Linked DNA regions of Xenopus tropicalis. The protein of the gene in region 1 purifies or fractionates together with the protein of each later gene. This does not show direct contact. Links are inferred from orthologs where the notes say so. Each region holds a gene or a part of one and is shown on either strand. Other genes may lie near its edges. The genes, in order: gls and sirt5.

What was found.
Region 2: the proteins of gls (region 1) and sirt5 purify together in Homo sapiens (affinity purification with western blotting; 3 studies listed by BioGRID and IntAct, with this or other methods). This does not show direct contact. The link is inferred for Xenopus tropicalis from reciprocal best matches to the Homo sapiens genes GLS and SIRT5.

What each region holds. Positions count from the first base shown.
Region 1 is NC_030685.2:45,590,381-45,594,890, forward strand, and holds the start of gls (glutaminase kidney isoform, mitochondrial), read left to right. Parts: upstream 1-1,426; 5' UTR 1,427-1,671; coding exon 1,672-1,967; intron 1,968-4,510. UniProt on the Homo sapiens protein: Catalyzes the first reaction in the primary pathway for the renal catabolism of glutamine. Plays a role in maintaining acid-base homeostasis. Regulates the levels of the neurotransmitter glutamate, the main excitatory neurotransmitter in the brain.
Region 2 is NC_030682.2:91,793,017-91,796,837, reverse strand, and holds the end of sirt5 (NAD-dependent protein deacylase sirtuin-5, mitochondrial precursor), read right to left. Parts: intron 2,541-3,821; coding exon 2,417-2,540; intron 1,979-2,416; coding exon 1,863-1,978; intron 1,472-1,862; coding exon 1,396-1,471; 3' UTR 551-1,395; downstream 1-550. UniProt on the Homo sapiens protein: NAD-dependent lysine demalonylase, desuccinylase and deglutarylase that specifically removes malonyl, succinyl and glutaryl groups on target proteins.

The DNA.
Region 1 (4,510 bases):
TCTTACTTACCTCATCATAAAAAGCAATTAAATTGGTCTTCTCTCTCCTAAGAGGGAACCTGTTCAGCCTCACTTGAGCTCTCTAGCATGGTTGCCTGTTAAGCAAAGGATAGCTTACAAAATCCTTCTGCTAACATTCAAAGCCCTTCACTCCTCTGCTCCTCACTACATTTCTTCACTCTCCCTGCATGTTCCTGGTCATCTCCTTTGCTCCTCTTAGAGCCTCCATCTTTTTACACCATCCACACCCACTGCGCTCTCTCATCTTAAACCTTTCTATCTTGCTTCTCCTTATCTCTGGAACTCTATCTCTGAATCCCTCCATAGGGAACACTCACTAACTCTCTTTAAGAAAAAGCTCAGCTGTTACCTTCTGGAGCACTAAAACATTATTTTGCCTAGTCCTACGCTTAAAGAAAATGTAACACTAAATTTTATTAAGTAAAAAAGCTATTCTACCCTGCACCAATAACTGCGACGATCGATTGATCGAGCCTAGCCTGACTCCTTCCTATACAGAAAGAAGGCTAGGCTCGATCAATCGATCGTCGCATAGTGGATGCAGCTCCTTCCTTCGCCTTATCGCCGTAGTTCAATTGACAGGGAGCCAAGTTTTAGCAGGCATTTTCTATTAAAGCATTTAAAATACTAAGTGGTTTGCAGGATAGGGCAGTTATTGGTGCAGGGTAGAATATCTTTTTTACTTAAAAAATGTTAGTGCTACTTTTACTTTAAGGGCAAATGCCCATACCTGGTGCACTCTTACCTTCCAATTTGTGCCTGTATGTTACCCAACCACTTAGTCTGTAAGCTCTACTGGGCAGGGACCTTCTTCCTACTGTGTCCCATACCACATGGCACTTGTTCCCTGTGCATTTATATATGTTTATTGGATTTATAACACTTGTCCTCCCTGTGTGTAATTTTGTATTTTGTAAGATTGTACAGCATGCGTACCCTTGTGGCACTTTATAAAGTTATACATATGTACAAATCTGTCCCTTTGTGTGTCCTTGCAATAGGCACATGGGGTGTTTTGTTTGCCTTTGTGCACTAGGTGGAGAAAAGGTTAATCTACATGTTCTGAATGAATAGACAGGGGTGGCACCAGCAGACACAGACCCGATGTGCCAAAATCTGCTCTGCATTCCTGCTGACAGACTAGGCCTTGCCTCTCAAGGCATTCAGAACAGGAAGCGAAAAGGAACAGCTCCGCCCTCTGACTGCATAATACATACAGAGGAAACGCCTTAGAGCAATGTTTAAGATATAATCTAGTTAAAACTATATGGAACTAATTAGTATGATCTGATTATCTAATGACAGCTATTATTTCATAGCATATTCCAAAAAAATACCCAGGCCACCCTTTGTTCATACTTCTACTGTTTATTAGTACGTTTTACCAACCAAACTATAATCACGTCACGGTATGTTCATTTTAAGACATAATCCCAGAGCCGTGCAAAAACTCGCCTCTTTGCATAGAAACGTCATCGGACCGCCCATCAGGCCAACCAATGTATTTCTCCTTTATCATGACAGACATGACATGTAACCAATGAGTTTTCTTGCAAGGGTTACCCTCTCCTTAGCTCAAGTAAAAAGCGATCCGTATTAAATATCAGACATAGCGGCAACGTAGGGTGAGAGCAGACAAGCAAAGCAAACATGATACGTTTAGTGAGCAGTGTTATGCTTAGAGATTTACAGAACATTATGAGCTACAGGACTTCGGCCATCACATTAGTTTCTGTGTCTGTTCGTAGTCTTGCCACACCAGTTGGCTATCACAATGTTCGGAACAGAGGCGATGTAAGCTGCTGGAAGAGACGTTGGCTGACAGGCGCGTGTGTACTGCCGGCCCGGAGGTACAGTTCCAAATCTGAGGGTACGATGGAAAATGATAGCAGCAAACTAACTCCACCCGACGTGGAATCCGCTTCCAAACCTTCAAGTGATGAAAAGTGAGTAGTGTGAGTGTATAACGGCCGCCAACCCTGGAAGACGAACGCTCTTAACGTGCTATTGTGGTACAGGGCGTGCCGTGACGTAGTGGGGTAACTCGCTGTGAGGAATGGATGAGGGAGGTGTTTACCGGATCGCTGTCATTTTGTTGGTAGGCTTGGCGTACTGGGTACGGCCTTGTGAGAGGTTAGGGGAATTAAGAGCTGGCCGCGTAGTACAGTGTAGGCGCTTCTTATGCTGAATTCAGTGCCGAATTCTATTTATATATTCATCTTATTCAGTAAGATAATCTGTTTGCGAAAGCCATTTTTGTTACTTAAGTTGTTCTCTGTTTTTAGTCAAGGCGACGATATGGGTTATGCTCATTGTTAAAACTGAAGGAGCATAATCACCCACCTCAAGCCCGGAAAAGAAGGGCAAATCTATACCCATCTATTGACCCTACGAGTTAGGTAGTAGTTTTATCAAGTCACAAGGGAAAACGCTCAGTTTTTCCTATTAAGCATTGTGTGCACACGTTACTTAACTAGGCCACATTAAGTAGCCAGGGGGCATTTTTTCTTTACCCTTAAAGGAGAAGGAAAGGCTAGTAAAGAGCATATCTTCCGTTGTCTCAATAGTGCCCTTAAGGGCTCTGGCACACGGGGAGATTAGTCGCCCGCGACAAATCTCCCTGTTCGCGGGCAACTAATCTCCCTGAAATGCCATCCCACCGGCGAAAATGTAAATCGCCGGTGGGATGGCATACACGGCGGCGCGATTTCAGTGAAATCGTGGAAGTTTCCTCTCGAGGCAGATTTTCGGGGAGATTAGTCACCCGAGAACAGGGGGGTTTGTCGCGGGCAACTAATCTCCCCGTGTGCCAGAGCCCTTAGTCTCCCCATATTTCACCTGTTTCGAAGAAGAAAAAACGCTGAGCTGTGTAAAGAAAGTTCCCATAATGCCTCACTCCTGCACAGACATGCAGACCAAGTGAACATGCTCAGTAAGACTATGAGTCAGCTTCCTGCTGATTGGTTTAGATCCACATTTCTAAGGGGGGGGGGAGTGAGTTCTTAGCATTCTTGAGGGAGGGGGAGCAGGAAAGAGCAGAGAACAGAAAGCTGCGTGTCTCTGGCACAGGAATTACAGACACAACGAATCTTTTTTCAGAGAAGTCAGTGCAGCGTTTCTGTGAGTGCTTATGGCTGTATTTACATAGTCCTTTCTGATAAAGCTTACTTAGTTTTTACCTTTCTTTCTCCTTTAAGTACTGTTTGTATTCTCTGTTCAGCTTATTTCATTCTCTTAATCGTCTAATTCTATAACAAGGGTGTAAATATCTTTTATGTGACCAGGAACAGATTAATGCATAGGCTTACCTAGGTTATAGCCTAGTTGTCCAGTGTTATCAGGCACCCATTTAATTTTTTTTTCTATAATTATTTCTCTTTCTAAATATTTTCTTAATCTTTTAAAGGAGACATATAGGTTAAATGAAAATACTTGTAATCATGTAGGCAATTATCAATAATATATGCTAAAAAATGAATACTATCTGTAGAAATGGCCCTTTGTTGGAGCTCCATATTGATCCTTTCAGTTCCCTGTCCATGTTTCAAATGAGGGAGGGGTGTGTCCTAATGTTCCCTGCTAGAAGCACAGTAGGAGGGGAGTAGCCAATCTCATCCCTACAGTTACACAAACAAATACAGGCTTCAGTTCTCTATCAGGTCAGCCTAGCTGCTGATTGGTTCCTATCCTGCACTGCAGTGTGTGGATTACCACTGGCCCCCATGTACAACCTGGAAAAGGAGGCAGCAGGAAGTGGAACAGATGGGGGAATTTCTCAAAAACTTTTTGTAAGCACAGTCCTTCTATTTAAAGGATTATAATGCGCTGGTACATTTTTAAAGGGGAATGATTGTGAAAAATGTTTTTATAATATTCAAAATACAAACTTTTTGACAATAGCTTTTATAAATTTTGCACTGTTACAAAGTTATGGCTGATTATTGAAGCAGCCTCCCATCCGCCACCCTCCAGAATCTCTGGCTCCCTGGTCTGTGTCAGTGATCTGTGTGAGTGAGAAATGTGAGTGACAGAGTAGATTAAAAACTGATTTGCTGCAGCATGTCATGACTCCACACCCCTCAGTAGCAAACATGTGAAAAGGTAAAGTAAAGGAATGGAGCTGGGCTGGGTGCTGATGAAGCTGCATTTGTACATATAATCGTAAAGCAGCTTGCTTTGTATCGACATATGCACGGCATTTCAGGCTCATTTGGGTTTTGTGCTGCTCACCAGCAGTCTTAGATCAGCTGACAGTCACCCTCCTGCAATTTACAAATGCAGATACAAATCTTACTTCAATAATCAGATAACAGGTGTATCAAAAGAGTGTATAAAATAGACTTCCTCCATACACATCAATTGCAGCAATATTACAGACCACTGTGCAGTTAACTCTGTGTGTACAGGTACATAAATTCATGTATGTTGAATTCACAGACACCTTTCTGTGTCTGTCTGACAAGTCAGGCTTCCAGGCTTCTTGATTAGC
Region 2 (3,821 bases), on another chromosome or scaffold:
ATGTAAGGTTAGTAACTGTGGGCCAAATTAGGATAAATTGAATGTTTTGCCCCAGAGGCTCAATGTGGAAGACCGTAGCTACAAGCTGATATGGTACTTGCCCAATTTTCAGCCAGATCTCAATAAGGCAGGACCTTCCAAAGGCCATATACAGGGGGCCATAAGCTACTGATTTGCACTGAAGGGGGCAAGACAGCAGCTTTTATCCCTCTGTGTATGGCCAGTAACTATTTTTACAAGAGTATAATGATGCAGGCTTTCATACTAGGACACTCTGATCTCAGACCCATTGATTAAGCAATATGGCCTAATTTTTTTCCCAACACCAAGTTTTATTTTGATTGCAGTATTCCTATGATTTGGAAAGACATGCAATTTGTAATGTCAAAGATGCATAATCATGTCTGGCCCTTTCGTACAACAGAGTGAGAACTGCAATCCATTTTATAGAACTCCATGTGGTATCATGATATTGCATACGATTTTCACACAGAGTGATTGTATCATGATTTAAAATGAAACAGGTTCCAAAGTAAAATTAGACCTGAGGTTACATAAAAATCAGTTTGCATCCAGATTTATTTTGACTTCATAGAGATAAATTAGGAAGCGATCTTTCCACAGTCAATCAGAACAATCTGCTACACTCTCCCTTCAGCATTATATGTAATGTGATTGGTCCCACACTTCCATAATAAAAAAGCTGTGCAAAACATCTACCCAGATCTAAACTGCCTGCAACACTGGTTTAACGATACATCATCTGCACACACAACACAACAGTTTTCATATTTATTACATTACAGAAATTGCATTTTGAGCATTAATCAGCAAAACTGGAAGAAAGTTTTTTTTTGTACTGGAGACATTTCTGATTGGGATGAAAAAGAAAATCTAAGATTTCTTTTAGTAAATGCAGTTTCCTCACTATATAGCACTAAAAAATGCAATTATGTAAGGCCTAATAGTGTGACCTGTGTCTTGTTCTTAGTATTAAAATGCCCAGCGGGCATTTTTATTTTGCTTGTTTTTTTTGGTCAAACAGAATAATAACCAATCATGCAAATATACAGAAAATAATTCATGTAACAGATATAATAAAGAAGAATAACAACCAGCAAGTTTACTGGTTTAAACATTATTCCATATTTAAACGCACAATCATTTCATGTATGGTGCAAATTATCTTCCATAGTGCAAGTGGAGAAAATTCTCAGCAACCACAAGGATTATTACATGACAAATATTAGCCTTCTCAAAAGCACTTTGAAGTGATTGCTTGCAAGACTGCTGGTCCATTCTCGCTTTTTTTTCCTATAGTAAAGACTTTTGTTCATACACCATATATACAGTAAAGTCTTAGGAACAGCTGCTCCTCTGCATAGGGTGTTAAATTTAAGAAATCAGTTCTGTCTCGTGGCGTGCTATTGCCGGTGGCAGAGTTGTTCCACAGGGCCCCTGAAAATGAAACCTATGAAGAAAAAAAAAAAAGTTAGAATTAAGTTATAAAGCGCTTTGCATGGTGAAAGAAAATGTAATTCTACTTTCTACTGTGCAGTAATTAAACACACTGAAGCCAACAGGCAATCATATAGCCCCAATAATAGGGAGCTTTACCATCCCAACATTCATAAAAAAAAACATTTCAAGCAAGAAGAATTAGAGGTTAAAAAAGCCAGAACTGTCCGTATAGGAATGCAAAGAAATGAACAAATACCAACTACATTTACAGCGTACTTGAAAGCCACTGGAAATATTTAATCAATGTGTATTGGAATGTTGCTTAGAATAATATTTTCTTTCAATGCAATAAAAAAAAACTGGGGTGGAAGATTTAAAGCATGTGACCAGATTTCTCTTACGTAAAGCTTGTCGTAGCTGGGGTATTTTCCATGTTAAATTCTGCTACAGGCACTCCTCTAGCAGCCACCTGAGGTGCAAACATTGCTGCAGGATACACAACTGATGAAGTTCCAACCTGTATAATACACAGAAAATAATAAACTAAAGTGCTTTCTTTTCCCTGTTGCTATCTGTGTATACAGTTAGAGTGATTATTACTGCAAATGCTATTTATTATTGACTTTGCAGTATATTATTTCATATTTTTACCCAATTAGATGCACAGTAGTAAAAAGCTTAATTAAACTGCTACAGTACCAGGTGTTTCAAGGGACTCAAAATTCAGTCATTGCAATTTGGCCTACATGACACCCCTATATTTAATTTTTCCATTTAAAATAGAGAATTTCAGACAATTGAGTAAAAAGGAGGCACAAACAGTTCATTTTGAATCAATTACTGGATTTGTAAGGTATATTCTAGTTTTAATATGAGTCCCCTTGTATAACGTATCAAAAACACAGAGGGTTTATGTGTACAGTCATGTTATTACCTAGCATAGCTTAATACATACCACCACACAGAGGTCACATATTTCAAGTTCTTTTTCCACTTCTCCGAGGAGATTAGAATCCAAGGTCTCTCCAAACCAAACAACATTAGGACGCAGAAGACCATTGCAGCCATTTTCATCACATCTGGGTAGATAAGTTACTATTATCTTTTATTTATACAGTGTCACTGTATTACAGTGATTATACAACTTTTAAGAACAATCCCTGTTCAAAGGGGATCCTTCTTTTTTGTATAGTTTTTATTGGAAATAAATAAAGTACTTGAATATCCATCTATTAAATTAGCTTTGCATGCATGCATATTTATGTATTTGAGTATGGATCCAAGCAACAGAAAAAACATAAGCATTCTTAGTTCAACAGTGCATGTGCATTAAGTAATGTTCTATGTGGGCAGCGAAGGAAGAGGTGGGATCAGGTCTGGACTGGCAATCTGTAGATGCAGGCAATTATTAATGCTAATGTTTAGAGTAAACCCGCCATATTATTAAGTTTAAAAATGAAGCTTGCTATAGATCTGATACTGTTCATGTTTCAAATGAGTGGTGGGCATGTTCACAATTGGAGGAGATAGCCCATCACAGCCCAACAGTGACACAAGCAAAGACAAGCTTCAGTTCCCTATCAGGTCAGCCTAGCTGCTGATGGTTCCTACCCTACAGTGCAGGGTGCTGAGTGCTGCTGGCTCCCCTACGCAAGCTGGGAAAGAAGGCAGCAAGAAGTGGAAAAGATGGGCGTGACTAGAAGGGTTTTTGCAGAAATTTCCAATAAATCAGCCTGAAACTAGGGATGCAGCAAATATACTATTTCGGAATCCTGCTGAATCTTGAATCCTTCATGAAAGATCCGGCCAAATAACAAACCAAATCTGAATCACAGGAGGATCTGGCCACAGGAGGGTTGAAGAAAACCACGTATGCAGCTTTTTTATGTGATGAAAAGTCATGTTATTTTAAGAATTCCGTCAGACCAAGCTGATTTGGCTGAATCCGAATCCTGTTGAACGAGGCCGAATCCCAAACTGAATCCTGGATTTGGTGCATCCCTATCTGAAACATCTTTTTTTCAGCACATTCCTTCTATATTTAAAAGTTGAATGCACTGCCACATTCTTGTTATTTACAAAATATGTCTCCTTTAACAGAGATTTGTTAAGTCTCTGCTGGGAATTGCATGGTTACATTCAGATCTGGACTGGAATTTAAAATAGGCCCTGGAATTTCAACACAGAACCCCAACAGCCCTCACAATCCCAATAAATAACCTATACCCAATTCCAGAATCTTTTCTGCTTTTGAGTATTGCCACCAATCAAAATACATACAGGACCTACCTTGTCCACAGCCTCTAAAGCACAGGTGTGAAGCGGAATGGTACTATTTTGTCAACTGCTCTGGTACTAGT